Mytilus edulis: one gene and its partners. The protein of the gene in region 2 interacts with the protein of the main gene of each other region in a biochemical or structural test. Links are inferred from orthologs where the notes say so. Each region holds a gene or a part of one and is shown on either strand. Other genes may lie near its edges. The genes, in order: E3 ubiquitin-protein ligase RBX1, ubiquitin-conjugating enzyme E2 N-like, E3 ubiquitin-protein ligase RNF8-like and helicase-like transcription factor.

Region 1 (7,016 bases), on a different chromosome or scaffold from region 2:
ATGTAATAGATAACAAAATGTTTGACGAAAATGTAATTTAAACCTTCAGCGCATCAAAAAATATTTTGCCTCTGAGGCGTGGAAGCAACTTAAAATTCGGAAATTATATATTATCAGATTATAGGACTATAGTTTACAGGGACTGTATATTTCATTTTCAATCAGTACATGTGCATTTATTATATATTATCAGAGACGTCTCTGATATTATTAACTTATAAATACAATTCGAAAATATTATTTGTTATACCAATTCCTTGCCTTCACTCATTCTACTCGAAATCCCCATATTATCGATAATTTCTGTATATATTTCACGTTTAATTCCCGATTTGATTGCATTTTATTATAAAACCGGATGTGGGTACGCGTAGCCTACGAATGTCAATTTGACTATTCGTACCCACATGCGGGTACGCGCAGACACTGCCTATTAAGAAGGGATATAATTACGATACTGTTGTCAAGTCATTAAAGATTGCATATTTTGGCGTTAATATTGAGTCACTGATAAGGTCTTTGCATCGGAACTAAACACATTTATTCTAAAAACAGTTGTTGGCATGACACGGGTTATGTTCTTCTCATATATGTTACGACTATGATAGTATGATACTAAACCCCTAACGGGAAGGATTGTGCCTGATGTTCATATGATGAAATCATAATCTTTCAGTCAGTTTAATTGAAGTCTGGAGCTGGCATGTCAGTTAACTGCTAGTAGTCTGTTGTTATTCATGTATTATTGTCATTTTGTTTATTTTCTTTGGTTACATCTTCTGACATCAGACTCGGACTTCTCTTGAACTGAATTTAAATGTGCGTATTGTTATGCGTTTACTTTTCTACATTGGTTAGAGGTATAGGGGGAGGGTTGAGATCTCACAAACATGTTTAACCCCGCCGCATTTTTGCGCCTGTCCCAAGTCAGGAGCCTCTGGCCTTTGTTAGTCTTGTATTATTTTAATTTTAGTTTCTTGTGTACAATTTGGAAATTAGTATGGCGTTCATTATCACTGGACTAGTATATATTTGTTTAGGGGCCAGCTGAAGGACGCCTCCGGGTGTGGGAATTTCTCGCTACATTGAAGACCTGTTGGTGACCCTCTGCTGTTGTTTTTTATTTGGTCGGGTTGTTGTCTCTCTGACACATTCCCCATTTCCATTCTCAATTTTATATAGCTAAGGAACACTGAAAACATTCACCACTTAGGACTGGCACATTAAAATATGTGACAGATTTGAAGAAAATAACTCCTGTCTGAATTCAAATGTAAAACTTCTATTCATTGATGTACTTCTAATATTCATCATCATGTCCACCTGAACTAATTTATCACTTTAATAGTGTACATACCCCAGGCCCATAAAGCTACAGCATTCCACTGAAATAGAAAATATTAAAAAATATACTTCTAATATACAAAATGGACAATCAAGTTACAATATGACAGATACAGTTGTATGTAACACTATCATGACTATTGATATTGGGTGTACAGGTTTGCAATTCACAGGCACTTGTCTCAGAATTGTTTTCCCCTATATACCTTTAAACATGTTAAATAATATAACACAAGGTACTTTAATACATGTAACTCACATTTTTCAAAAAATGTCACACGGTCACAAAATTCTGTTATATTTCAGTTTCTCGGTTGTCTTATTTGAAATTAGCTGATTTTTTAACTAATAAAAACACTTGCTATCATCATGATCATAAAACATTGTTATCACATGTAGGAGGTGCGCTTTTGTAGATTTCATACCATAGGCATAAATTAAAAAGGAAATAAGTGGTTCCTACAGGGTGTGTCTTTTTACCACCAAACATCACCGAAAACCACTGAACATCATAAAAACCACCAACCACTAAGATAAACTGTGATATTATACAATAAACATGATAAAATGATAAAACAAATTAAATTAGGTATAATTTAAACAATTTTTAGATTTATATGGGCATCATTTTTATGTTAAAGTCGATAATCAATATAAGGAAAACGTCTCAGGATTCATCACTTTCCGGATTACATTGTGTGTGTTAATATTCATATTTAGTAATCAGTTCAAGTATCCTCAATCTCTGTTCTCGGTTAGATTCTGATATTTGTCTATTTTCTTATTATTGGGACAAATGTTTTATAGAAGAGATAGAAGAAGAAAAAAACGGAAAAAAATATATTTGAGGTGTCCATGGGGGTCTGCAGAGTTCAAAAAGTGGGGTGTTATAGACTCTCCCTTTCTGTTTTCTGTAGATTTTTGGACTCTTAATCTTCTGATTTGTTAAATTAATAACTTGAATATAATATTTAAGACACATTTATAATGATGAAAGACAAAATAATAAACTTTTAAGGTGTTCGGTGGTGTGCGGTGGTGAAGAGACCTACCGGTCCCTATATCATGTATATATATATATATATACTGTTTTTATAACACCAGAAAAACTGGAGTGTACTCTGAAAACAAGGAATACCCAACTTGTCATGACTTGAGCTCAACCTGAGTAAGGCCCTTTGCTTTTGGCCAACTCTAAAATTAGTCCAAATAATTATGACTTCTTTGGAGTCTTGGAAGGCTATTTTTAATTTTTGCTTTGACGTCTTACGACCATGTTAGGCATCAAAGAAAAAAATATAATAGCCTTTCAAGATGTCATACTTATTTGGACTACTCTAAATGTATCTATGATATTAATGATTATGTTCATAATTGAGCTTTCCTTAAATGTTTAATAAAATGTTTCGTATTTTCGTATTTCTAAAATAGTAAAAATAGAACCAACAGTAACACTCAAGATGCGTAGATATTATTTCCGAAAAAGGAATGAGTTTGTGTAAAAGGTCGAAATGTTTTACTTTTTTAACTTCGAATCTCTTCTTTCCAGCTTTGTCTGCTCCCAAACCTGAAGATTCTCCAAGATCACCGTCATCGACATCCATAGCAGCAGCCATTATTTATGAAATTTCCGGCCTTCTAACGTCATCGTCAAATCAGTGCTAAAGTCTTGAGGAGTACTGAAAATTAAATTTGTAGATTTTTATGTGTAACGAATCTGTTAGTTCTTCTGGGTATCAGGTCGTTCCGGCCCCAAGTCGATTCGGCCCATAATTAAAATGAATAATTACTATAAAGGTCGGAGAGTTTGTCAAGTTTTTGATTCAGCGTAAATGAGAAATTGCACATAAATAAAGTTCAGTAAATTTTACTGATTGAAGAGATATATTTTAGGATTGTTAAAACAGATAAATCAGAAGCACGCCGACACCTTTGCTCATATTTTTTTCTGAAAGAGTAATGACACTTGGAATTATCAATTGGGCCTATATGGATGTAAATGGACTATGTTGGAAATTCGAAATGTCATTATAGTAATCATTCCACATCCCAATGTAATATAAATGACGCCATGGTGACCGTGTTGACCCGAGACTACTCTTTGTCATAGTGGTCTCAGTGTTCCCTATCTCTGAATTTCGATGCAGGACGTTTCGCCAACAGTCATTTCGGCCACACTACCAGTTTGGCAACAGTCATTTCGGCCATGCTACCAGTTCGACAACAGTCATTTCGGTCATGCTACCAGTTCGGCAACAGTCATTTCGGTCATGCTACCAGTTCGGCAACAGCTACTGGTCATTTCGGCCACACTACCAGTTCGGCAACAGTAATTTCGGTCATGCAGCCAGTTCGGCAACAGTCGTTTCGGCCATATGCTGCCACGAACTGAGTTCGGACAAACTTTGTAAAGTCATTAATTGCGGCCATGATTTTTATATAAAAGGACGTACATGTTACGTATAACTAACATACGTCCTTGATAAAAGGTAGAAAAAGATTTTTTTTTTAAATTTAAAAATAGTAAAAAAAAAACCAACCATATTAGATAAAGATGTATTTTAATTCAGTAAAAAATGTTACAAAAATATTCGTAAAGTTCACAATCAAATTGAAATAACATTTTAAAAACAAGATAACTTGTTGATAAAAAGTGATGTATATTAATTTAACAAAATATGTTTATCCAGAAAAATCCTCCTTTTTCACAACCAGTGTCTACTGAGAAAAAAAAATTCAGCTCGGTGACCTTGATTTTATACATGTCTGACATTTTTACTTGGTTTTGAATCTATCACAAAATATACTTCATATTTTGGCTAAGTTTGACAAAATTCTTCCTTTTTTTTATTCTCTATCATACCTCTTGAATGCATAATAAGGCAAAGTATGACCGAAATGCCTGTGGACGAACTGGAAGTTTGGCCGAAACGACCTGTGGACGAATTGGTATGTGACCGAAACGTTTCGAACGACCGTCTTTCGTTTCGTCTGTAAATCCGTTAAATAATTTATGTACATGTTGGAACATCTCGGAAAGGAAACATGTCAACTAACCAAACACCAGCCTCCAGAGACCATAAACATGGTCCTGGGGAGACAGAAAGTGCGGTCAAAGATGGAAAAAGTCCTCCTAATCATCCAATATTTGATGCAATCAAATCTGGGTAATTTCAACATATAAATCCAACCAAATCGCACACATCCGTCTCTATCTCTCTTGCACATCATCTGAATCTATAAGTTTTACATGTTTCACTAATGTTTATGTTTTACATAGAATTTTGTAAAGTGAAGTAACCAATAATATAATTTAAAGGGATTCTATTTGTTAGATGAAGCAATGAAAACGTGTTCAAAGTTTTTGTTTAATTTAGAAATTACTGTTTGTTTACTATGTTGCTAGTCATTTACATAATTACAAGGTTTAATAATAGCTACATTTTGAGGTATATTGTGATATATTAGCTGATTGCACCATATTAGTGTCACCCTTGTGTCAATTTTATGCCCTATTTATGGACATTATGTTTTCTGGTCTGTTCGTCCGTTTGTCTGTCCCGCTTAAGGTTAAAGTTTTTGGTCGAGGTAGTTTTTAATGAAGTTGAAGTCCAATCAACAGTTGAAACTTAGTCCACATGTTCCCTATGATATGATCTTTCAAATTAATAGAGTTTTTACTCCAATTTCACAGTCCATTGATAGGGCGAATGGGGCATCTGTGTACTATGACACATTCTTGTTCAAATTATTTTGCAGTTTCTGCATTAATAAAATTGAGAATGGAAATGGGACAATATACCACCATGACCACGAATACTAAATCATACTTGTGAGTGCAGTTTAAAACTTCACAGAATACTAATTTGTTTTTATTAAACTTTTATTATTATTCTTGGTAGGATTGATTTTTATAGTAAAATTAAAACATTGAAAATTATAGGAAGCATAATGCTTCTTTATACATGTAGTATACATTGTTATACCTGTAAATTATTAAATTATCACGATTATCATGATTATTATCCAAATGAAAAATAAGAAACTGAAATTTCTTTGAAAAAATCAATAAACATCATCATGATCATGTGAAAGGCATTTGCCTGATTTTGATTTGTAAATATGAGGAAGGCATTTTACTTCAGACACTATTTAAATGTCACCCTCCCATGCAGATCAATAATGTATTAATAATTCAAAAGACAAGGAATTGAATTCACTATCAATTACTATTTAAAAGACAATGTTCAGTAAAAGTTCTACGTTTCGGCCTTAGGCTTTTTCATAAAACTGTTAACAAAGCATAAATGCATGTTGCTTAACTTTTATTTCTTTTCTAATGATGTGTTACTTTTGTATATGAAGTCATAGTTTACTACTTACCCTTATGATTTTTAAATGACAATACTGACTGTTGACAGAACATTTAGTTTGATAAATTAAATATCAAATGAACAGATATCTCAGAGAGTGATATTGTATACTTATTGACTGGGTATAAGTGAAATAGTAAGTTTTATTGTTTATTGTCTCCGAGGTGCAACTATTGCCCTGATGGGGGGTTCTGATCCCGGATCCTGCTTACTGTTTTGTCAGATTCACGTATCCGGCTTATACTATGTACCTAAGCAATTCTAATTTTTTTGTAATTTCCCGTGTCCCGCTAGACCTTAATTCCCGTTTTCATGGCACAATAATTTGACTTTCCCGTATCACGCTTACGAAAAATCAGCAATCCCGCGTCACGCTTAGACCCCAATGAGACCCACCTGATGCATATCTGAGGGGTCAATGAACTTACTGTTACATGAATATCCAGTCAGCATGGTCAGTAAGTGTTTTATTTGACCAAAGAGACATCAGACAATAAATGTTGGGGCTAAATCAACTATCGTATAAATATAAAAAACAAAAACACAATTATATTGTTTCATGTTTACTTCATTATCATATATATTCTGAATGGTAAAGCAGTTTAAACTACGTTCTGCACTGATAAAACCCTAGATAAAAGGGGTAAAACTCGATGTTGCAACCCCCACGGCATTCTGAAATTAGTCAATACTGTAGCTGCATTTGAAATTCTGCGATATATGATGACGTTTGCGGTTAAATAGTTTCACCGAGGTCCAATAGTTGGAAACTATTGACTGGTCCAATTAAGTTCTACGCTTGCAATTTGAAAAAATAATGAAAATATTGTGTACTTATTTTATATACAAAATGATGACTGAGGTATAATAAAGCAGATTGTTGCCTTGGTAGACAATGTTTTCACAGAGTAACTATCTGCTCTCTTGCCCTCTCAGCTAAGTCATGTTTGTGTTTTAAAAAAAAGCATATAATAGCTTAAATGAGCTGGTAAAAGCAGAATTAGCTATAATTTAACTGTTTACATTGTATACTCCTACATGGCCTACATTGTAGGTAATACTTTATTTGTTAAAAATAATGAAATTTGACTTAGTTTTCACCATAGTTATAAATATACTGTACTGTCTGGACGTACATGTACCGTTAAGGCTTAAACATGTTAAAAACTGTGATTTTTGTTTCAGTATGTTGGTACCAGTTCAGACAGCAGCTGAAGATGGACCATCAGTTTTCTCACTCCGAGATGACAAAGGACACACTCCTGCCCATTGGGCATGTCTTGGAGGCCACACTGTTAT
Region 2 (7,714 bases):
CAACTCGCCCCACTATTAAAAAAATCGCCCCAACCTGGTTAACCAACTCGCCCCACTTTTTAAAAAAATCGCCTCACTTGTGAAAAGGGTTAAATCCAGTTAATTTTTCCCCTGTCAACTCGCCCCACTTATTGAAAAAAAGGAAAAATCTACTTCTATATACAATTTTCAGGTCTACCAACTAGCCGCACTTAAATGAAAACTTATTTTGATTTTTGTAATCTACACAGAATACAAAAAAAATGAAATTTATTAAACTTTTTTAACATTCTTAAAATATAATTGCAAATACATTTTCGTATCATTATTGGAGAATAACTTTATACTTGTAAGCTTAGTTATTTGTATAACAATTGAAAAGAAACCTATTAATTGTATCATAATCATACAATTGATGCGTGATTAACATTTATATATAACTTTATTGCAAAAACAGAGTTTTTAACAGCAATTTGATTTTATAGCACTTCACTTAGGTTTTCAAAGGTATTGACGTGGGCAGGGAAAAAGATGGGATTGCATCTTTTTTATAAGTGGTTTATCTATTTGTCATGAGTGGGGCCAGTTGACAGACTGTATTTCAGCGGGATTTTAACCCTTTTCATAAGGGGGGCATGTTATCAAACCTATTTGCAATGGGAGTTTATCTTTTTCATAAGTGGGGCGAGTTGGTAAACAAGAGTGGGGAAAGTTTGAAAAAAAGTGGCGCGATTAGGTGTGGGGCGATTTGTCATGGATTCATTTTGTATATTTGTGTACCCAGAAATATGTAAAGATAACATAATAAAAATATTTGGCGAATTTTTCAACAAACTGTAACTGTAACGCTTTCGCGTCGATCCGGCCCCACGTCGATCCGGCCCAAGTCGATCCGTCCCACGTCGATCCGGCCCCACGTCGATCCGGCCCAAATGTAAAGTCGATCCGGCCCCAATAAAAAAATATATTTATAAGGAATAAAAATAAAGATATATATTAAAGTAATTCATAAATGTTTATGATTTTTATTATAATGTTAAAGGTGTACGGTAAAAAAAAAAAAAAAAAAATTCTTCAGATGAGTATAAAACAACTAGGTTGATTATGTTTTTATTTTTCAAGTTTTCAAGATTATTGGGTATAATTATATTAAAACAATTCCTTTAAGTAAGTGACAGTGTAAAACTGTTAGTGTAAATGATTTATTAAAAGGTTATGTATATTTATGTGAGTGTCAGAGATAGTTAGTATGTATGATGTTATTGTTATATTTTAGTAGTGCTGATATTATATTTTAGAGTGTGAAAATGTGCATTCAGTGTCATTGTTTTGTTATTTTCTTGCAATAAAGAATAATGGATACTCATATAACTTGTGTTTTTTCTACACACAACTATTCATTGAAAATACTGTCAAATTTATGAAAAATATATCGATATAGGAAGATGTGGTGTGATTGCCAATGAGAAAACTCTCCATCCAAATAACAGTTTATAAAAGTAAACCATTATAGGTTATTATTATATACACCAAACAAAATATCAATCTATAAAGACCTCGTTGATATTATAAAAAAAAAAAACAAGTAAATAGAAGCCTGTGATGTTACCTGAAAAAAATACAATTTATAATTATTATAAACACCAACCTTAACCAGAAGATCAATTAATCAGGATTTGATTTAATTAAGTGATTACAAGTGGCATCACCTTAGTTAACAATCATCAGACAATTGTTGAATAAACAAACCAATTATAGACTAATGATTTGATTAATCAAGTCATTATGATGAGTTAAATTTAATAGGTTCCAGTGGACTAAATATTTATTTAGATATTCTGTGTATGAAAAAAAAGAAAATGAAATCGCCATGAGTTAAAGTTAAAGTTATCATGGAAAATAACTTCATATTTTAAAATATGTTGAAGCTGCCATACAACCAACGACACAATAACAATCATTTTCGTATCGATTTAAAATAGTTCTTTAACTGGTACTCCAATACTTCACTTAATACCTGTTGTCATCCATCATTGGACACTTTTTGCAAATTCCATTTATACTGTGTCACAAATTCCTCCAAGATCAATATAGTTATTTCTTATTTTATTATGGGGCCGGATCGACTTGGGGCCGGATCGACGTGGGCCGGATCGACGTGGGCCGGATTGACTTGGGGCCGGATCGGTTTGGGGCCGGAACGACCGGATACCACTGTAACATATTTTGTTTCCAAAATAAATATTATGCACCTAGACAGCATTAAGAAAAAATACAAATCAAGATGAATGGACCCTGGACAAACAGGTACAAATGTACCTGGGCAAACAAGTACTTGAGCGAATGTGAATCAGGACGAACAGACCCGGATTTGACACAACAACCTTAAAGTGATTGTTGGGATTTGACACAACAACCTGAGACTACTATAACACATGTTATAGTAGTCTCAGCAACAACCTAAAAGTGATTGTTGAATTACATCAACAGTTCAAGTTTCTCAACTTATAGGGTCTAGTGTTGAAGATAACAAATAATAATAAGTTCTTTTATAGTCATATCGGCCTTTTATCCGGATTTTCAAATAGACCGGTAATCGCCAATAAATCGGTATGTCAGACCGATGTCGAAACCAACAGGGGACCAAACCCTGAATTGACATCCAAATTCTTAATCATTTGTTGGACTAATAACTTAAAACAATAATGTTATGGTATTTCTTTTCATCACTGAAAAAAAGGTATTGCCGCAAAACTCGCCATTCACAAAGAAATTGTACATGATGATGTTCAACTCTTCACTCAAAAATGGCAAATCATGTTGTAGACACTGAAGTATGATATCATTTATGAATCCCGACTACTTTATGAGAAATATAATTGGCACCTTTATGATTCGACGGGGTAAATTCCCAGGTACAGTGGCCATTCTTTACTTTTTCTTATAATAAGTCTTGTTTATCTGTTTATGAGAGAACCAGAACGTTTTAAAATGGCGTTTCCCCGGAAGTTAAAAATGGGTATTTCGCCCCAGTGCAACTCGTCCACTATTGTATCTGTTTCACTTTGTTTAAATATGTCACATTAAAAAATGGAATTCAGTAGGATTCAGAATCCTCCTAGTAAAAATCGGAATGTTATCTAGGCATAATAAAGATTTTATCATAACATAAATTCCCAATACCTACTATTCAAGTGGCAGGTGCACTCGACTCCAATCGTAATTGACTAGGCCGGATTGTCAGTTTTCATGTCGAAGAACTCATAGGCGGATCCAGGGGTGGTGGTGTTGGATCCCCTGTAGTGGGAAACATTTGGTTGATTATATAGGGAATCACTGAAGCATGACTTTTTCCCCCTTTAGGAAAAGTTCTGGATCCACCACTGAAGGTATGTGGTTCTCTTCGGGCACTCCGGCTTCCTCAACTGAAATATAAAAAAAATTGACAGCCACGAAATGGCACAATATGACTGAAAAACATCAACCAAGTTGAAACATGGAATATTTTCCCGAGTTTAACGGGTGACTTACCGAATCAGAGTTATTGCTGAGTCTAAATTGTACTTGTATTATTGCATTATACCGAATTCTTCTATCCCTATAATGCATATATTTCTTAATTTTCATTTGCTTTTTATTGATTTTGATATTAACTATTTTTCTTCCCCACCCCACCCCGGCAATATAGAGACAGAAAGCAGTGTCCATACCCACTTCTATTCTTGATTTGGATGTCAATAGGTTCTATTTCATAGTCTTCCGGCATTTTGATCTCACCTGGACCAAAAGTGCCAAGTGAGCTTTTCTCATCATTTCGCGTCCGTCGTCCGTCGTCGTCCGCTAACTTTTAAAAAAAATCTCCTTTCTGAAAGCATGGGCCAAATAAAACCAAACTTGGGGTATCTAGTTTGAAAAATGTATCCGATGAAACTAATGCCGACCGTGCAAGGGCTGTATAGCCTGTCAAGGTCGTTAAAATCTTTCATTTGTTGTTGAAACCATGGAAGTATTATATTGACAATATAATACTTCCATGTTGAAACTAAAGCATTTAAAGCAAATCTGAACGGGGGTGAAAATGTTCATCAGATCAAGACGTATCTGTCCTGAAATTGTCAGACGCATCAGACTACCTGTTGATGGGTTGCTGTCTCAGAATTTGTAATTTTAAGAAAATTTTACATTTTTTGGTTATTATTTTGAGTATTATAATAGATAGAGATAAACTGCAAACAGCAAAATTTTCAGCAAAGTAAGATCTACACATAAGCCAACATTACCAAAATGGTCAATTGACCCCTGTAGCAGTTATTGTCCTTTGTAGTCAATTTTGGATATTTTTTTGTAATTTATTGTAGTCTTTTACAAAAATCTTCTCCTCTGAAACTACTGAGACAAATTTACCAAACTTTGCAACAACCATCATTAAGGTTAGTATCTAGCTAAAAAATGTCAGATAACCCTGCCTACCAACCAACAGGGCTGACTTGGTAAAAGTAGAAAAGTAAAAAGCAAGTTTTATCTATTATTTTTGAACCGTTATATTAAATAGAGAAAATCTGAAATGAAAAAATAAGTTCAGAATAATGAGCTCTATCAATTGTCCTTTATCATATATACGACTAAACTGCTAGACAAACTCTTATAGGAGTTATTGCCCATAAATGACAAGTTTTATGATATTTTATTTTCATTTTTGCCATTTATCATGAAAACTATGATATTTAGAGAGAAACTTTTTTTTCTGTTATGCTTCATTATATTAGATAATAAAATGCTTCGCAGGGCACAGCTTGATACGACCGCAGAGGTTGAACTTGTTGGGGCTAGTATGGACACACCATTCAAGTTTTATGCAGCTCTGCATTTGGGTTGTGATTAAAACGTTGACACAAAATAGATTTCTGACACAGAATGAATGTGGTCTAAAATCTTAAATATTTTAATTTGGTCTTTTACCTTTTATGGTCCAATAAATAAAATATAAATACATGGTTAGATTCAGCATAATATCAAAGAACCCCAAGAATTCAAGTTTTGATGAATTCAAATAAAGTTCAATTTTGAACCCTTTAGACCTCAGTGTGGAACAATTTGATAAAGGGGCCCAAATAATAAAAATCGAAATGCATGGTTAGATTCAGCATATCAAAGAACCCCATATATTCCATTTTTGTTGAAATCAAGGATTTGTATTTACTATACAAATCCTTGTTGAAATCAAACAAAGTTTAATTTTGTACCCCAATTTAGACCAACTTGTAAACTTGGCCCATAATAAAAAAAATCTATGTACATGTTCAGATTCAGCATATCAAAGAACCCCAAGAATTCAATTATTGTTAAAATCAAACTTAGTTAAATTTTGGACCCTTTGAACCTTAATTGAGACCAATTTGAAAACGACAAAAAATTAAGAATTTAAATACACGTTTAGATTCGACACACCAAAGAACCCCAATAATTCAAGTTTTGATGAAATCAAACTAAGTTTACTTTTGGACCCTTTTGGTCCCTTATTCCTACACTATTGGGACCAAAACTCCAAAAACAATCCTAAACTTCCTTTTGTGGTCATCAACCTTGTGTTTAAATTTCATATATTTCTATTTACTTACTAGTATACTAAAGTTATAAACCAAGAAAAATGCTTATTTGTGCCCTTTTCGGGGCCCTTATTCCTAAACTGTTGGGACAAAACTCCCCAAATCAATCCCAACTTTTTTTTTATGGTCATAACCCTTGTGTTAAAATTCATATATATCTTTTTACTTCTACTAAAGTTATTGTGCGAAAACCAAATGTCTTCGGACGACGACGACATGATACCAATATACGATCGCAAAATATTTTTTTTGCGGTCGTATAAAGATAAGATAAAGATATTTTATTTCCTAATCATAGGGCTCATAACAAGCATGTAATCACATAAAGTAAAAATAAAAAGCCTTTTCTTTCCTTATTATAAAGGGTCTTCAACCGAGTTCATTGAACAAAACTGGCATGTTCTCTCCGATCTTGGCAGTGTTAATATTTTTTCCATGTTCATCAATTTTTCGTTATGCGGAGACAATGATTGCTTATTCTAAATCTAGTTAGTATAACTCTCTTATCTCTGTTCTTAATTTTGAAGTAATCTTCAAAAGTGAAATTATGTCTAAATTTAAAGTAGTTGCTCAATTTACTGTGATCATCTTTTTTTTAAAAGTCTTTTTGATGGCTCCAATATGTTAAAAAATCCGTTTTGATACATTTTGTAAGTAAAATTTTGAATTTATTTTTACTGAGTTTTTTACAAAGTGCTAAATTTAAACCAAGTTTTTCACTAAAAAACTTTATGTTTGCATACCACGATTGATTAGCCACAGCTTTATCAGAGGAACTTTCAATATAAGCATCACTTAAGAGATCAGTGGGCGAGTTTTCAAGGTGGTGCCAATACATAAACATTTAAATTACTATGTTAATATACAAAGGAAATCTACCTAGCTCTGATATAACTCCAATATTTGTACAATTTTTGGAGACACCAAGAACATACTTGCAAAATTTAAGATTTAATTTATCAGGTTCCCAATCTTTGAAGATTTCAAAAAGATGCATGGTTCTTCTTTTTGGAGTCAAATTTAACATACCCCATATTTCACAGCCATTGGTTTGATGGTGTGATCAAATATATGAAGTAAAGTCTTAATAGATGGAGAAAATGACTTAATGTTTTTGTAAAATTTAAAAGAAGCCTTTAGTTCTTTATCATATAGGTTTTTTTCTAGCTGCATTAAATTTTCCAGTATTAGTAAGAACTAATCCTTAAGTATTTATAGAATTTCAAACACTCTATTCTGTTTGCACCTATATTAAATTCATCTGACAGTAGTCTCCCATTTTTATTAAAGATTATAATTTGTGTTTTCTTTGTGTTTATTTCAAGACACCAGTCACTACAATATTGGTATAAAAAATAAGTTGGGTTTGTAAACCCTTTTTATTATCTGAAAATAACACCAGGTCATCCGCATAGAGAAGGCAAGGTACACATTTATTATTTAATTGTAGACAAGACAAGACAATTTATTACAACTTAGGCACACGTATGGTGCTACAAGAGGATAACAATTATACATTAAAAATTACATACATACTTATACATTTACAAGAAAGTCACACAATAGATTAATAATTGATATCATACAATAAAACTGAAATATATTTGGTTGATTTGTTTGCAAAATTCTTAATTGCAACGTGGTTAGAAATTATTGTAACATGCTATGAATTATGAAAATATTTTTTCAATATGTCTTAGAAACATGCACACTTTTGTTAGCACTGGCACGTTACAGTGTGATAATAGACCAATAAATTTCAATTGGGAAGGATTTTTTATGTAATATGTAGGTATATACCTTTCTCTTAAAGACATAATTTGTTTATTGGAACATACAAAAAAATAATGATATTCGTCACCAATGGTATTTGAATCGCAGTGACAGCATATACGATTTTCTCTTGGTGTATTTTTCCACCGACCAACTTCTACAGTTGTCCTTTAAAGCTTTGGGCAAATCGTTTATGAAAAATTTATAAACAGGTTAGGACTTAAAACATCCCCTTGACGGACTCCAACTTTTGAACTAAAAAAAATCAGTTATTTTATTATCTACCCTCACACAGAGTCTGCCATTGCTATACATACTATTTAGAATTCTATAGAAAAAAACATCAATATTTCCCT
Region 3 (7,243 bases), on a different chromosome or scaffold from region 2:
ATACATCACTCAAGGTGAATAATTATCTATTTTAACATAACAACTAATTTCAACAGTAAAAACAAATAACAAAACATTGTCCAATTTGAAACAGGAGTGTACGAGTTGTCCTATGCTTCAGACTCGACATTCACTAAACATGCATGCTGAAATTGACATGGTTGTTTTTGTTACACAATCATACACATTCAAGTTTTGAAATCGATAGTTGTCATCGTAGAAAAGACTGCTGTTCATGTGTGTATGTTATCAGAAAATTGGTGTTTCTTATTGCTCTAAAGAAATGTTTGAAAACAAACAGAACGTATAAAAGTAATCGTTAATTCGCAATTGATACGTCATTGGAATGCAACTGCAATACACATTCTGAGGTCACACAGGTTCATATAATACTCAGTCTGGCAGTGGGCGGAGCTTTAAAGCATTATCTGTATAGTATACAGATACAGCATAGCAATATCTGTAGGGCTTTATCTGTATAGTACAACACCCAATTGCAGGATAAATCAATATACATGTACATGTATGATCAAAACATCTTTATTTATTTCTCAAACAATAACTTCAGACAAAGGATTGAATTAAATAAGATTGTATGTGGCTATTACGTACCTTATTGTCTCTCACAGTCCACTGTCCCTCGTCATTACATTTGAATATGGCATGACATCTTGATATCATGTTAGACAAGAGACAAACTGTGACATCTGGCGCTCTCCCTACAGTAACCTACAAGATAAATAAACAGATATTTTAATAAAATACAGCAGGAGTCTCACCATGACAACTCCATTGAATTCTGCAGTCATGAAAATCTGCAAGGACTATTATTTAATTTTCCAAATAAGTGAATCCAAAGATGTACAATGTATCAAAATCATGTAAGTTGAGTCCAATAATCTTCATTTACTGAGAAAACCACCGACCTTGGATTGAAAAAGTTCTGAAAACTGAAAAAAAAGGATTTACTGGGATGAAACATTTTTAAGATATAAAAGCCCTACTGGTTACATGTTACATGTACAATAGAGAACATCTTTGTTTCTGTACCATATCAGTAATTAAATGACTCTACAATATAATGGATATGTTTTTGAGTGTCAAAGTCCTGCCTACTAAAAGAAACAAGAAATCACAGGAAAAAATGTAATATTAAACAAACTTAACACAGTATCTCCTGCAACAGTTGTTGCTTTTACAGAAGGTTCTTGCCAACCCAACTCCCTTATTAAATCTATCCAAAAACATCGTGGAATAAAAATTAATTTTGAATGGACCCCAGGACATGCAGCTAAAGAGGCAAATCAAATTAAAAAAGAAGCTCATATTACAGTAACTAAACAAGATATTAAAACAGCAGCAAGAATTTTAGTGAAAAAGTGGCAACATAGATGGGATAATAGTGATACAGGAAGATTTTATTACAATTTTCATCAGATTGTCAGCAAAAAATCAACATTTGATTATCCAGATCATAAAACAGCAAAAATTATTAGAATTTTAAGATCCGGATACCATCTAAAAAATTACATTATTTACTATTTTGTGAAAATTATGAAGAGGCTAGACAGAAACTTATACATGAGATATACTTAAACACAGGATCGTTGCATATTGATTTGGAACTTTTATTGTCATGATGGAAAAAAACGACAATGTCTCCATCTCTAATGAAACACTAATGCGATTGTTGGGTGGCTTTATTTGCGAGTCACGCCGGTTTGATTAATGAAATATTAATTATTATTTCTTTTTTTTTTCCTTTAAATTTTCATGTTAATTAATAAATGTATTATGTTTTTAATTTTCAGTGTAATTGTTTGCCTTAAATTAATGGAGAATAAAGGCTTTTTCCCCTGGAGAAGAATCCCAATTTGAAAAAAAAATGGCTTAAAATTATTCCCAAAAAGACAACTTTTTCCCAAACAGTGCAGTCTCAGTAGTTATTTTGCATGAATACAAACTGAAAAACACTAGTGTATACATTTTACAAGCCTAAAATTACTATATGTGCAGATTTGAGGGTCTATTTATGTATCATCATTGACAAAAGCAGTCTTATTTTTAAACAGGGTTTGACTCTTGAAAGCGGGTCTGTAAATTGAAGTTTCAGTCAAATTCATTGTTTAATCTAAATTTCCCAATTTGATGAAAATTACGCATATTTTCCCAATAAAAAAGGGTACAGGTAGTTTTGAAAAAAGCCAACAATATCACTGATTTTTGTCAAAATATGTTAAGCACAGTCATTGACAGTTGCCACCTAAAAGTATATATTTTAAAGTACAAGTGAGTTGTTTACCAGAGTGAAATATTTACACGCGAGACTTGAACAATTAAAAGAGGGACAATCCAGTGTCAACAGCGACACCTACAGAATACAGAATTTCACGTGTCACGCTTATTAAAAAAAACGGCAATCCCGCATCACGCTTAGACCCTAATGAGACCCACTATCTATGTGCTGCCTAGCTGAGAAAACGTAGCTCTATTGTCTTATAAATTTTTTTTTGGCATAATTTACTGTCCGCAAATATCAAAATCATCAAAAGAACTTCATTCGCAGCTAGACCATAGATGCTGCCAGGCTAAAAAACTTTTCAAATCAGTTTTGTCTGTACTCAGAGAAAATTTCATGGTGTAAACACAGTCATTTTGTTAAAGTGTATTGATGAACCTCAACTATGTTTATTGTCTACAGAGAGAGGGGTATCTATAACTTTTCTGGACCTCATAAGATTTATTTGTATTACGTATTTATATCATGGTTATAATATATTTTTGAAAGGACAATTTATGTAAATAGCATACTTCGGTTTTCTTTTCAAGGCTAATAAGCTTGTGCTTCTTAACATTATCGCCAATGCGATGAAGACAAGGGATGTATGTTGTTTCTTGGTCTTTGGTTTGGCTCAGTTGCTGAGACATTTTTGCTTCTCGATTTAGATGAGAGCGCTCTGCGCTAGTCGTTTGTGCTTTACGTCATAGATTTCGGGGTAGTATTTCCACGCATGCGTACAAATATACTTCCTTTTTGGACTGATTTTGCATTGCACCAGCACGTGTAAGTCTTGTTAGATGATTATTGTCCTATTTTAATGTATTTTCACTATATTAAAAGTTGATAAAATATTGCACGTTCCTCAGACCACTTTTTGACGAACAGACAGGTATGTGCTCGGCTAATTTCACTCCAGCTTTTCATATGTTGATAAACTGTAAATCTCACCCATGCTGAAGACGGGATATCCATAAATATATAATATTAATAATTAATTTGGAACACATATCATATGAAGTTAGTGCTAGAAATTTTCTTATTCAGTGTATGACCAAATCAGATAATCGCTCCACATCATATCAGAAAGAATTGGTACCAAGACTAAGGAGAGAGATCACTGGCTACTGTCTTCAAAAGATGACTCCTACTAAACAAATTTTTCATAAAATCATATTAATCTTAAAACCTGGTATCAGTCTGTTTCAAATCTGTTCCAACTTGTCCAGCCAAAATTAGAAAAATGAATAATTTCTTTAAAATTGGAGGATTTTGTGACGCATCTCATCAATAGACGTATTTACACTTGTTTGCAAATTTGTCCGCCATTACATAAAATCACACAGGTTCCCGTAAATTTGACATCATAATTCAAAACATTTGACGTCACAACTAAAAGGTTATTGTTGCTTGACGTCAAAAGGTTATTCGGAGGTGATATAAGGTCATTCAGAGGCACAATACAGCTAAATACCAAAAGTGTAAATACGTTTATAACTCATGAAAAAAATAGTGAAAATTCATCCTACAGGATCGGAGGAAAAATAATTAAAAAAACAAACAAACAAAAAAGTTAAAACAGCATTGACGATTGGTCAGGTTGGTGATGATGATGATGTAGGTTTACAAAAGTATTGTAGAAAACTATATAATTAAAATTGTCACATCTACACGACTACATGTAGTTTTGACGGAATATTGTTCTCATTGATATTGAAATGCATTTAGTGTATGAAGAATACAACTCGACCTACTGAAACATAATTATCATGTTTATTTTATTTTTATCTCTAGGTTAAACATGCAGCTTTTTGTACGGGGTAGCCAAACCCACACCTTTGAGGTGTCAGGAACAGAAACCATTGCAGATATCAAGGTGAATAGAGAAATTAAAAAAAAAGATGTTTTTTGTCACAATAAGATTTTAAAATTTACATCCAGATTATTGTTAATGTTCCGTCTGCATCAGAAATGTTTTCAACTCCGAAGACCAACATTCTGACATTTTTCTTATTGGGCCAAACAAAGTTGCAAAAACTTATTAGTCCCAATGAAATTTGACTAGTCTGGGGCATTGGACTAGTGGCTAACCATGCAGACTGAATGTTTCAAAAATATGATTTAATTGTACCTGTCAGAATATGAAAATTGCTGTTTATTTTAATACAAAATGTATCTATTCAAATTGCTGTAAGTTTTAGTCTTAGCATGTAATTTGATATGTATACATGGTGTTCAGTTGGATTATAGCCTGTGATTCTCACTGTCTGCTCCACACTAGTGGACTGGATTTGTAGGGTATGTCAAGACAATTGCATTCAACTGGAATAGATAAGTTAAGTTAAACAAGATTAAAAGTGGAAAAGTATTGTGAAAACGAAACAAATGTCGACTTTCACAAGAAACATTTAGATTTGAATAGAAAGATTAAATATTGCCTATACCGTTATAAATTAATGTAAAGCTTGGGCTGACCACATACATGTACATGTAAATGATGTATCAACCCTTTTTGTACAAGGCCATCTTTTATTATTATTACACTATATATAAAGCCACAACAAGAGCATCCTGTTTCTACCACTTGAGAACCCACTGGTCTGCTCTCTGAGTAAACTGGTTTCCACATTTTCCTCAGTGATCAGATAACTTATGACATGAAAGTCATGAAATATGAAGAAAGATATATTGAAAAAAGCTGTGGAAGATGCCAGGCACAAAACAAAGACCAATGGTATACAAAACAAAACATACAATCTAAGAACAGGACAACAAGAACCTAATTACATGATTAAAACAAACAAAAATGAGATTGATCACTATCAAGTATCATTAACATATTTATGACATTTTAATAGATTTGTAATTATTTTAAGTGAACCTGTAATTTTATGATTTTAGAGCTTTTTACTAGCAAAGGATGGATTTCCAGTTGAAGAACAGGTTATTATGTTTGGAGGAAAACCCTTACAAGATGATTTTCAGCTAACTAGCGTCGATGAACTTTCAACTCTTGATGTTGACCTCAGAATGCTTGGAGGTAATATTTTTTTTTAATTTGGCCACTTTTTCATCAAATATTTATTAGCAACCTTACAGCCTTCAACTTTGAGCATAAACTACTTGTATACCATATAGTCAGCAGTTCAAAAGTCCTGACACGAAAAATATGAAACACTAATTCATCTGAAAAAACTAGCAGTCTAATTTACATAATACAACAAATATGAGTCTTTGTTTGAATCTTCTTCCTTTCTTTCCAATGCCAATACAAATCTTTTAGACTATTCCTACCTGAACTTTATTTAAAAATATTTTTTTTTATCAACAGGTAAAGTTCACGGTTCTCTTGCTCGTGCAGGAAAGGTCAAGGGACAGACACCTAAGGTAAGATTATTCTGTATGATAATACAAAACTCAGATTATTATACACTGAATTAGATTGAATTTCTTCTAGTTTAGTGTCCATAGATCGTTATTTGTTTTTCGTCACTTCATTGTATATTACCATTCGGCTAGACAGGGCCGACTATAATAGACTTGTTTCACAGCTGAAATGTTTTTGTTGACATCATATTACATATGCCAGGGTTTGACACTAACATTAGAGGTGATGTAGTCCACAGGACTACCAAGAAAAATTTTGGGTAGTCCTGGTAGTCCACCTCCATCACCGGTGAGGGCCACAACGCGGCCCGAACTAGCTAGGGGGGTTTGGGGGCATGCCCCCCCAAGAAAATTTTTCGAAATAAGATGCAATTTCCTGCCATCTGAGCACCTCAAAAGCACACAAATATTCATTCGAGTTTTGAAAATATTTTGTTTTTTTTTCAGATAAAATAAAGTTGACATTCAGTGAATAAATTTTATTACTCCTGAACTTTTACCGTCAGAAAATTTTGAAAAATGAAATGCAAAATCTGCAATCTGAGACAATTTCTAAGGCCTTGTTAGGTGGAGTTATTTGACCTTTTATTCCAGAATTATTTAGAAAAAAAGGATAAAAATAAGTCAAAGTTTTCATTAATTCTTCAAACAGTTTATAAGATTTTTCTTGTAGTGATACAATATATTAATGTCTTTGTTTGTGAACTAGAGGTCAACTTCATCATCACTGTTGAAAGCAATTCAGTGGATATGTTGCTATTATTTTATAATGGTTATATTCTCCCACTGATAGATTATTGTTGTATTATTTGGAGTGGTTGTGCTAAAAATGAGCTAGTCAGAATAATAAAATTGCAGAAAAGGGCTGCAAGACTTATTTTAGATGCTGATCCACTTTCATCACCAGCTCTACTGTTTAAACAGCTTGAATGGATGACAGTAGAGAACAGAATCTCATACCACAAATCAGTTTTGATGCATAAATGCCTTAAGAATGAAGCCCCTTTATATCTCCCTGAAAAGTTTAAATGCCAGAAATAAACCAATATTGTTTGAGAAATGCCTCTTGCAAAAATTAACAAGTTCCAAAAGCCAAAACAGAGCTTTATAAGAAATCTTTTATATATTCAGGATCTATTTTATGGAATAACTTACCAATATCCCTGAAAAAATCAACCTCAAGTACAAGCTCATTCAAAAAAGATTTAAAAAAATTACTTGATGGAACATTAAGAAGCTATGCATTTTTTATATGCATAATAATTTTCACACATTTACTCAAACTTATGATATTGTTGATGCCAATACTATACATGTCATATATGAATTTGTAACTTTTACCTGTTTTGAAAATTGTATATTTCATAACAATTTTTTATTTCATTATTCATGTATGTGTGTCTGTTTGATATTTTGTAATTGTTTGTTATATTTCATTGTATTTCATGAGGGCCTCAGGGAAGATTACAGCTAACTGTGTAACCCTCTTTAAATAAAGAATTATTATTATTATCATTATTATTAAAACAAAATGTCTTTAATACCATTTTGAATGACATGCATTATATGGTTTTTTTT
Region 4 (7,767 bases), on a different chromosome or scaffold from region 2:
ATAAACAATCTTCTGTCCAAGTTTGGTACCAACCCAGGATAGTTTAAGAAAGTTATTAAAATTTTAAAAACTTTAACCACAGAGTGAATGTAATATTTCCCAGCAGAAAAACTAAGTCCACTTATAAGTAAAATACGGAAAAAATTGAATTTTATTTTTACAAAATTTACTTCTGGATACTATCTTTTGATCTTAAACAAGCTTCTGTCCAAGTTTGGTAGAAATCCAGGATCGTTTGAGAAAGTTATTCAAATTTCAAAAACTTAAGCCACAGAGTGAATATTTGTGGACGCCGCCGACGACGACGGAATGTAGGATCGCTTAGTCTCCCTTTTTCGACTAAAGTCGAAGGCTCGACAAAAAGGAGACAGAGGAAAAGCATCAAACTATCCTCCTGTATCCCTGACGTCGATTTGTAGCAAGATCATGAAACATATTATTCATAGTAACATCATCAGTCATCTTGAGGCAAATAACATCCTGTCTGAAAATCAACATGGTTTCCGTAAAAATAAAACATGTGAGAGCCAGTTTGCTATTACTATACAAGACCTAGCAGATGGACTCAACAGCAGGGATCAAATTGACAGTGTACTGCTAGACTTTTCAAAAGCGTTTGACAAAGTGCCACACCAACGCCTGTTGAGCAAATGCAGATACTATGGTATAAGAGGGAACACACTTCAATGGATAGGGAGTTTCCTTCAGGGCCGATCACAACAGGTTGTTTTAGATTGAAAGAAGTCAGAAACATCTGGGGTTTCCCAAGGAACTGTAATGGGGCCTCTTCTCTTTCTCATCTACATAAATGACCTGCCAGAACTAGTAACATCTAAAGCTAGATTATTTGCAGATGCTTGTTTACTTTACCAAAAGATATGTACACCATACATGGAAAAACATTAGAAGTAGTGAAGAATGTTAAATACCTAGGCCTTAACATCAGCCACAACTCATCATGGAACTACCATATAGGTACAGTAACCAAGAAAGCGAACATCAATTCTTTCTTGAGAAGAAATATCAGCTCCTGTCATAATAAGATCAAGGCCCAATGTTATACCACAATAGTAAGACCAATTATGGAGTACGCTTGTATCATTTGGGACCCAATAACGCAGAAAAACATCAGAGAGTTAGAAATGGTGCAGAGAAGAGCAGCACGCTTTGTAACTGGGGACTACAGAACCACCGGTAGTGTTACCCAGATGCTTAAAGACCTGCAATGGATTGAATTACAAGAATGTAGAAAGAGAGTAAAGACCATCATGCTCTACCGCATAATACACCCATCTTGTTGCAATACCACCTGAGCAGGGACAAAACTTAAAGGAAGCCCAGTTGCCCATGGCTTCTAGATTTTGAGCTGGGGCCCTTAACTTTCAGGTAAATTTCAGTTGAACATATAGAAACTAATTATGAAATATCTGGTCTGGGCTCCCAGCTTGAAATTCCCAAATTCAGTTCGGGAAAGATACAAATTTGTTAACGCATACGAATTCGTTAACGTTAACAAATTTGTTAGCACAACATTAACAAATTCGTTAACTTCACAAACAAATTGAAATCGGCACTTTGATACAGAAAACGGCATCGCAGAATATGGTTTTGCAATTAGAATACTAACTTCCTGTTCTTTTTGACCGGGAGAATTTAACGTCTGACCAGAAAATTAGCAGAAATACCTCAAGGTTTGTATATTCTACCTCTCCTTCTCCGTAAAACAACATTGTCGGCCATTTTGTTATTGGGACAACTCGACCCTTGTGGATAACCGTTCGTCCCTTAGCTCTTACGTCACACAATTCCGTAAAGAATGCAAATTAAAATACAAACGTTTAATGAGGCTTCTAAGTGAAACTTTTTAGTTTGAGGTCATTGTAGTTTAGTTAGTATTAATTTCAGTTTAATAACAGATTTAGTTTTCATAAAAACGAAATATTTCCATTTTGCTTATATATATATTCTTTTAAACTAATATTATCAAAGACTGATTCAGGGGGGTGCCTGTGCCCCCTCCCCTTTTAAAGGAGCTCCAATCGTGGTTAATTAAGACTTTTTATTGGTTTTTATTTTGTCTGTGGGTCCCTTTTAAAATCCCGTTACAATAAATCCTAATTTTAAACCTTGTACATTTTTTCTCTCATTGAATTAAGATGACTTTTGAGCAGAAAACATATGTATCATTGCAGATGGATGAAACAGAAATTGAATATTACAGTAACTTGCAGAGTGAAGTTAAAAAAATGAAGGCATCCTCCTCTATGTTATATTCACAAAAGCAATAGTTTTATATGCATATAACATTGGTTCTATTGGTGCTAACAAATTTGTTAACGTTAGCGAATTCGTATACGTTAACGAATTTGTACCTTTCCCGAACTGAATTAAGTCCCTGCTGAGCAATCCTTAATACCGAGGGGTGTAGCATTAACAACTAGAGGACATGACACCAGATTCCTACTACCCTACTCAAGAATACAAAACCACCAGCAATCATTTTTTCCATCTAAAATTCGTCTGAGGAATGAACTACCATATGCTGTCGTCACAGCTTCCACTTTGGAAGGATTCAAAGACAGACTCCAGACACCTGCTTTATGTTAGATATTACAGTTTTAATATAACACCACGAAGGCACGATGGCTTTTAACCAAATTTTTGTATATAGTATGTCGGAAAGGTGTTTCCTTTGGGCATAGGCAAATAGTCATTTGCGACAATACACCAGAGGTGGTATGCAAATTATTGGAAGAAGAAGAAGAAGAAAATAATAATTCTAAATTTAGCAACACAACACGGACGGAGGTTTGACAATAAACAGGTAAATGTTAACCCCAGCAAATGCCAAATGGCAGCATGCAAGTACGTCCATATCTTACTTACACAATCTAATAGACCAACTCGTAGTAAAAAAAAAGATTGCTATAACAGCACCTCTGTTGTGAATAGTGCACTAAAATCCTGTTCGTCTGCAATAACTTCAATTTAGTTCAATACGATTTCCCGCCAATTTTCATTTTCCGGGCATACTAGATTAAGTAGTGTGACCCTGATCTCAATTGGTCGCATTCGATTCTTTGAATTAAACAATTGTAACATAGTAAATTTAATGTTCGTCTCATTTTTCATTATACCATGGAAGTATTTTTATTTAATACTTCCATGATTATACCAAATAAAAAATCATGTAACTTTAAAGGCTGTTATTGTTTGTTGTCTGAGTAGGATATTTTTTTGGTAGGAAAACAGAAACATTTTGTTAGTTTTATCACACAATCATTTTTTTCTCTACAAATTTAACACTTTTTAAAAGGTATGGGGAAATCTGGATTTTCAGAATATTTTTTTTATTCATCTTACTTGATCACAATATTTTTATTCATCAAATTGGGGATCAGAAAATTATTTATAAAAAAATTAAACCCCAACCTCCTCTTTAAAGTTTAATGGTTATTTTCATAACAAAAATAAATGCATAAAATTTCTATTTCTATCATTTAAGATCATTTAATAGTGGATCTAGAACTTAATGTGGCAGTGCAGACGGTTTCAGAATTTTTTCAAAAGTGGGCCCCACTGACTGCCATTAGAGGGCCCTCTCCAGTCCTGCTTCCCTGAATCATCATCCAAATTTTCCTAATATTGATTGTCCCAAATATAAAGCTTTACCACAAGTATCATATATATATATACTATCTTGATTCAAGAAAAAAAAATCAAGGTCAGATTAACTTAACCAGAAATACAAGTACCCTTTACAATAATTTCGTCAAGGATTTGTATAGCAAGACTAAACAAACACAGACACTTGTTTCTGTCAATGTGGGGTTTACTATCCACACCGTCACGAAAAATCATGGGTTGACAGAAACAAGTGCCTGTGTATACAAATCCTTGATTTCATACACCAAACAGGTGCAGATCCAGCCATTTTTAAAAGGGAGTTCCCAACATAGGATAAAAGGGGGGGTTCAAACTACATGTTCCCATTCAAATGCATTGATCGTCCAAAAAAATGGGGGATCCAACCCCTGGAACTACCCCTTAAAAACTTATCATTGACTTATGAACCATGAAGAAGAGGTCAAGGTCATATGATTCCTGCCAGACAAATATAAACACCTAACAATCATTCCATACACCAAATAAAGTTGACCTTATGCTTATAGTTTAAGAAAAACAGACCAAAACATAACCAGGTGCTCCGCAGGGCGCAGCTTTATACGACCGCAGAGGTCGATCCCTGAACAGTTGAGGCAGGTATGGACAAAACATTTAAGCGTGATACAGCTCTGAATTTGGATTGTGATCAAATTTTTGACATTATATGGTTTTTTTTACACAAAACAAATGTCAAGATTTTACAAATCAATTAAAGATTTCTTCTTCAAACTTATTTAAATCTAAAATTAAATAGTTGACACAGCACAGTGGCGGATCCAGGGGGGGGGGGGGGGGTTCCGGGGGTGCGCACCCCCCCTTTATTTTTGCCGATCAATGCATTTGTATCGGGACATATGTTTTGCACCCCCCCTGCACCCCCCCCCCCCCCTTTGCCCTGGGTTAGCACCCCCCCTTTCGAAAATTCCTGCATCCGCCCCTGCAGCATAGGTTTCTGACACAGAATGAATGTGGTCTAATGAACTTAAATTTTTTTTTGCCTTTGAGCAATTCACTATGCTGTTGAATATTAATCCTGTCAAAAAAACGTTTGAAGAAATTTTCTTTTTATTTATGAAATCTGAAATGAGAACAAGTATGGACACAACTTTTAAGCTAAATATATTTTAGATAAGATAAGGAAAAAAAAAACTTCATCAGCAACATTTTATATTGGCAAATTTCCAATGAAGTTATTTACATAAAGTTATTGGCAAATAAAAATAGAAAATGACATCATAGTCATGTCTGGGAAATGTCCAACATACATTATCTAAAAACATTTTAGATAAGATAAGGAAAAAAAGCTTCATCAGCAACATTTTATATTGGCAAATTTCCAATGAAGTTATTTACATAAAGTTATTGGCAAATAAAAATAGAAAATGACATCATAGTCATGTCTGGCAAATTTCCAACATATATAATCAACTACTATTCTATACAAAGAAAGATAACTCCAATTGAAAATTAATTGCTATTGCACAATATTGTGCAATTAGATATTTCTTTCTATTGTGCAATACTGTGCAATTGAAAATTTCTTGCTATTGCACAATACTTGATATGGAATCCTGATTTGGACCAACTTGAAAACTGGGCCCATAATCAAAAATCAAAGTACATGTTTAGATAAAGCATATCAAATAAGCCCAATAATTCAATTTTTGTTAAAATCAAACTTAGTTTAATTTTGGACCCTTTGGACCTTAATGTAGACCAATTTCAAAACTGGACCAAAAATTAAGAATCTACATACACAGTTAGATTTGGCATATCAAAGAACCCATTTATTCAATTTTTGATGAAATCAAACAAAGTTTAATTTTGGACCAACTTGAAAACTAGGCCAATAATTAAAATTCTAAGTACATTTTTTTTAAATTCAGCATATCAAAGAACCCCAAGGATTCAATTTTTGTTAAAATCAAACTAAGTTTAATTTTGGACACTTTGGACCTTAATGTAGACCAATTTGAAAACGGGACCAAAAATTAAGAATCTACATATGTTGTGAATTAGTTATAGTTTCAGTTTAGTATTTTATACTCTTTTATTTGCTTAACGTTTTACCGCCATTTTACGTAACAATAAGCCCGCAACGTCGTCACTTGACGACGTCTCTTTGTATATCTTGGACTCTAGTAAAGCATACGAAACATTGAAGACGCTTTTGTGTTTACTCGCCTTTATTATTGATACGTCCAAAACATTGGTGCCGTGACAAAAACAGAAGAATACGAAAGATGAGTACCGCGACAACGAAGATGAAGACCAGACGAGCTGGACATCGGGGAGTTCTTACAAAGTTACTGAAGAAAGTGGAACCGAGTTCCGAGGAACTTTTGCAGGAATATGACGTTAGCGAACTTTCTACCATTCGAGGACTTATTGCTAAAAAGCAGGAAACGATCGACCAACTGAACGAGAAGATTGTGGAGGAATTATCAGAAGAAGAAGTGAGCGAAGAAATAGAGGAAGCCGACAGATACACGTATGACATAGAAATGGCTGTAACCAAACTTTCAAAAATCATTAAGGAATCGGAAATCACAGACAAACAGTCAAGTAAGTCATTGCTAAACCCAAATGCACACGAGTTTATTAATTACACGAATCATCAAGAAAGTCAGCCACAGCCCAGTTTCATGCACGCAAATACATCAGCGTCCGTTTTTTCAAACTCCAGCATGTACCACAAACTTCCCAAATTAAATTTACCAACGTTCGGCGGGAATATGTTAGAATGGCAACCCTTTTGGGATTCGTTTAGTGCTGCCGTACACGATAACCTGTCTTTAAGCGATGTACAGAAATTTAATTATTTGAAATCTCAACTGTTCGGAGAAGCCACCCAATGCATAGCAGGTCTACAAATAACTAACACAAATTACGGACAAGCATTACATGTACTGAAACAAAGATTCGGTCAACCACACAAGATAGTACAAACATACATGCAGAGTTTAATCAGCCTTCCTAGTCCAACGTCAAATATTACACATTTGAAATTTTTTTACGACAGCATGGAAAACTACATCCGTGGCCTTGAAAGTATAGGAGAGTCTCAAGAGTCGTTCGGAAGCCTTTTAGTGCCCATAATATTAAATAAACTACCTGGGAATATACGAGAAAACATGGTACGTGCCCACGGAGGCGACCACTGGAACTTGCCGTCGTTACGGCAAGCTATTCAACATGAGATAACGATTAAGGAAGCAGGTCAGTCGGTAAACGGGGATAATATAGAGCCAAATTACACACCCACATCAGCATTCCTTACGGGTACAAATCGTAACTACGCTAATCAAAAAGGGAAAAGAGACATAACCAAGAAGCCGTGCATCTTTTGTCAAGGAGTTCACGCCCCGTTAGCTTGTAAAAATGTCATGGAAATAGAAGATCGAAAACGAATTGTTAAGGAAAAACAGGCATGTTTCAATTGCTTAGGAAATCACAGAGTTGCCGATTGCAAATCCGATAAAACATGTAAAAACTGTAATAAACGACACCATACTAGTATTTGTTCAAAGAATGAAACACACTTGTATACCAAGTCTAAAGATAGCAGTACATCAAAACCAGATACCGATGCCGCAGTCGCAAGCATGCATTCATCCACATCATCGGTTAGATCGCAAGTATTGTTGAAAACCGCGATAGCACCTATCACGTATGACAAGACACATTTTAACACCGCCAATATACTATTCGACGAAGGAGCCCAGCGAAGCTTTATCACTCAAGAGATGGCCGATTTATTGAACCTGAGACCACATAGGAAAGAAGCGATAACGATATCCGGTTTCGGTGAATCCAACAAGAAGGTTAGAAATTTACCAATTGCTACTATCTATATAAAAGGTCTAACGAATATACTTATCCCTATTGAAGTTCTTATAGTACCACAGATTGCTTATCCGATACATACATACGCAAGGAACCAGTCGAGTTTTACGCATTTAAATGGATTGAAGTTAGCCCACCCAGCTTTACAGGACAAGGATTTTGAGATATCAGTCTTAGTTGGCGCCGATTATTATTGGGATATAGTTGGAGACAGAGTAATTAGAGGTTCCGGACCAACCGCTGTACAGTCCAAAG

Evidence for each region.
Region 1: the proteins of ubiquitin-conjugating enzyme E2 N-like (region 2) and E3 ubiquitin-protein ligase RBX1 form a complex in vitro, tested with the Homo sapiens proteins (5 studies listed by BioGRID). The link is inferred for Mytilus edulis from reciprocal best matches to the Homo sapiens genes UBE2N and RBX1.
Region 3: the proteins of ubiquitin-conjugating enzyme E2 N-like (region 2) and E3 ubiquitin-protein ligase RNF8-like form a complex in vitro, tested with the Homo sapiens proteins (7 studies listed by BioGRID). The link is inferred for Mytilus edulis from reciprocal best matches to the Homo sapiens genes UBE2N and RNF8.
Region 4: the proteins of ubiquitin-conjugating enzyme E2 N-like (region 2) and helicase-like transcription factor form a complex in vitro, tested with the Homo sapiens proteins (2 studies listed by BioGRID, with this or other methods). The link is inferred for Mytilus edulis from reciprocal best matches to the Homo sapiens genes UBE2N and HLTF.

What each region holds. Positions count from the first base shown.
Region 1 is NC_092351.1:23,909,769-23,916,784, reverse strand, and holds the start of E3 ubiquitin-protein ligase RBX1, read right to left. Parts: upstream 3,024-7,016; 5' UTR 2,961-3,023; coding exon 2,865-2,960; intron 1,386-2,864; coding exon 1,358-1,385; intron 1-1,357. Other genes in the region: uncharacterized protein, read left to right, coding at 4,390-4,511, 6,903-7,016. UniProt on the Homo sapiens protein: E3 ubiquitin ligase component of multiple cullin-RING-based E3 ubiquitin-protein ligase (CRLs) complexes which mediate the ubiquitination and subsequent proteasomal degradation of target proteins, including proteins involved in cell cycle progression, signal transduction, transcription and transcription-coupled nucleotide excision repair.
Region 2 is NC_092344.1:52,090,389-52,098,102, reverse strand, and holds the start of ubiquitin-conjugating enzyme E2 N-like, read right to left. Parts: upstream 3,015-7,714; 5' UTR 2,908-3,014; coding exon 2,866-2,907; intron 1-2,865. UniProt on the Homo sapiens protein: The UBE2V1-UBE2N and UBE2V2-UBE2N heterodimers catalyze the synthesis of non-canonical 'Lys-63'-linked polyubiquitin chains. This type of polyubiquitination does not lead to protein degradation by the proteasome.
Region 3 is NC_092346.1:50,166,034-50,173,276, reverse strand, and holds the start of E3 ubiquitin-protein ligase RNF8-like, read right to left. Parts: upstream 3,001-7,243; 5' UTR 2,929-3,000; coding exon 2,812-2,928; intron 730-2,811; coding exon 613-729; intron 1-612. Other genes in the region: ubiquitin-like FUBI-ribosomal protein eS30 fusion protein, read left to right, coding at 3,012-3,064, 4,073-4,154, 5,180-5,318, 5,610-5,665. UniProt on the Homo sapiens protein: E3 ubiquitin-protein ligase that plays a key role in DNA damage signaling via 2 distinct roles: by mediating the 'Lys-63'-linked ubiquitination of histones H2A and H2AX and promoting the recruitment of DNA repair proteins at double-strand breaks (DSBs) sites, and by catalyzing 'Lys-48'-linked ubiquitination to remove target proteins from DNA damage sites.
Region 4 is NC_092346.1:81,894,097-81,901,863, forward strand, and holds the start of helicase-like transcription factor, read right to left. Parts: upstream 3,012-7,767; 5' UTR 2,887-3,011; exon of another isoform or gene 2,883-2,886; intron 1-2,882. Other genes in the region: uncharacterized protein, read left to right, coding at 5,931-7,767. UniProt on the Homo sapiens protein: Has both helicase and E3 ubiquitin ligase activities. Possesses intrinsic ATP-dependent nucleosome-remodeling activity; This activity may be required for transcriptional activation or repression of specific target promoters.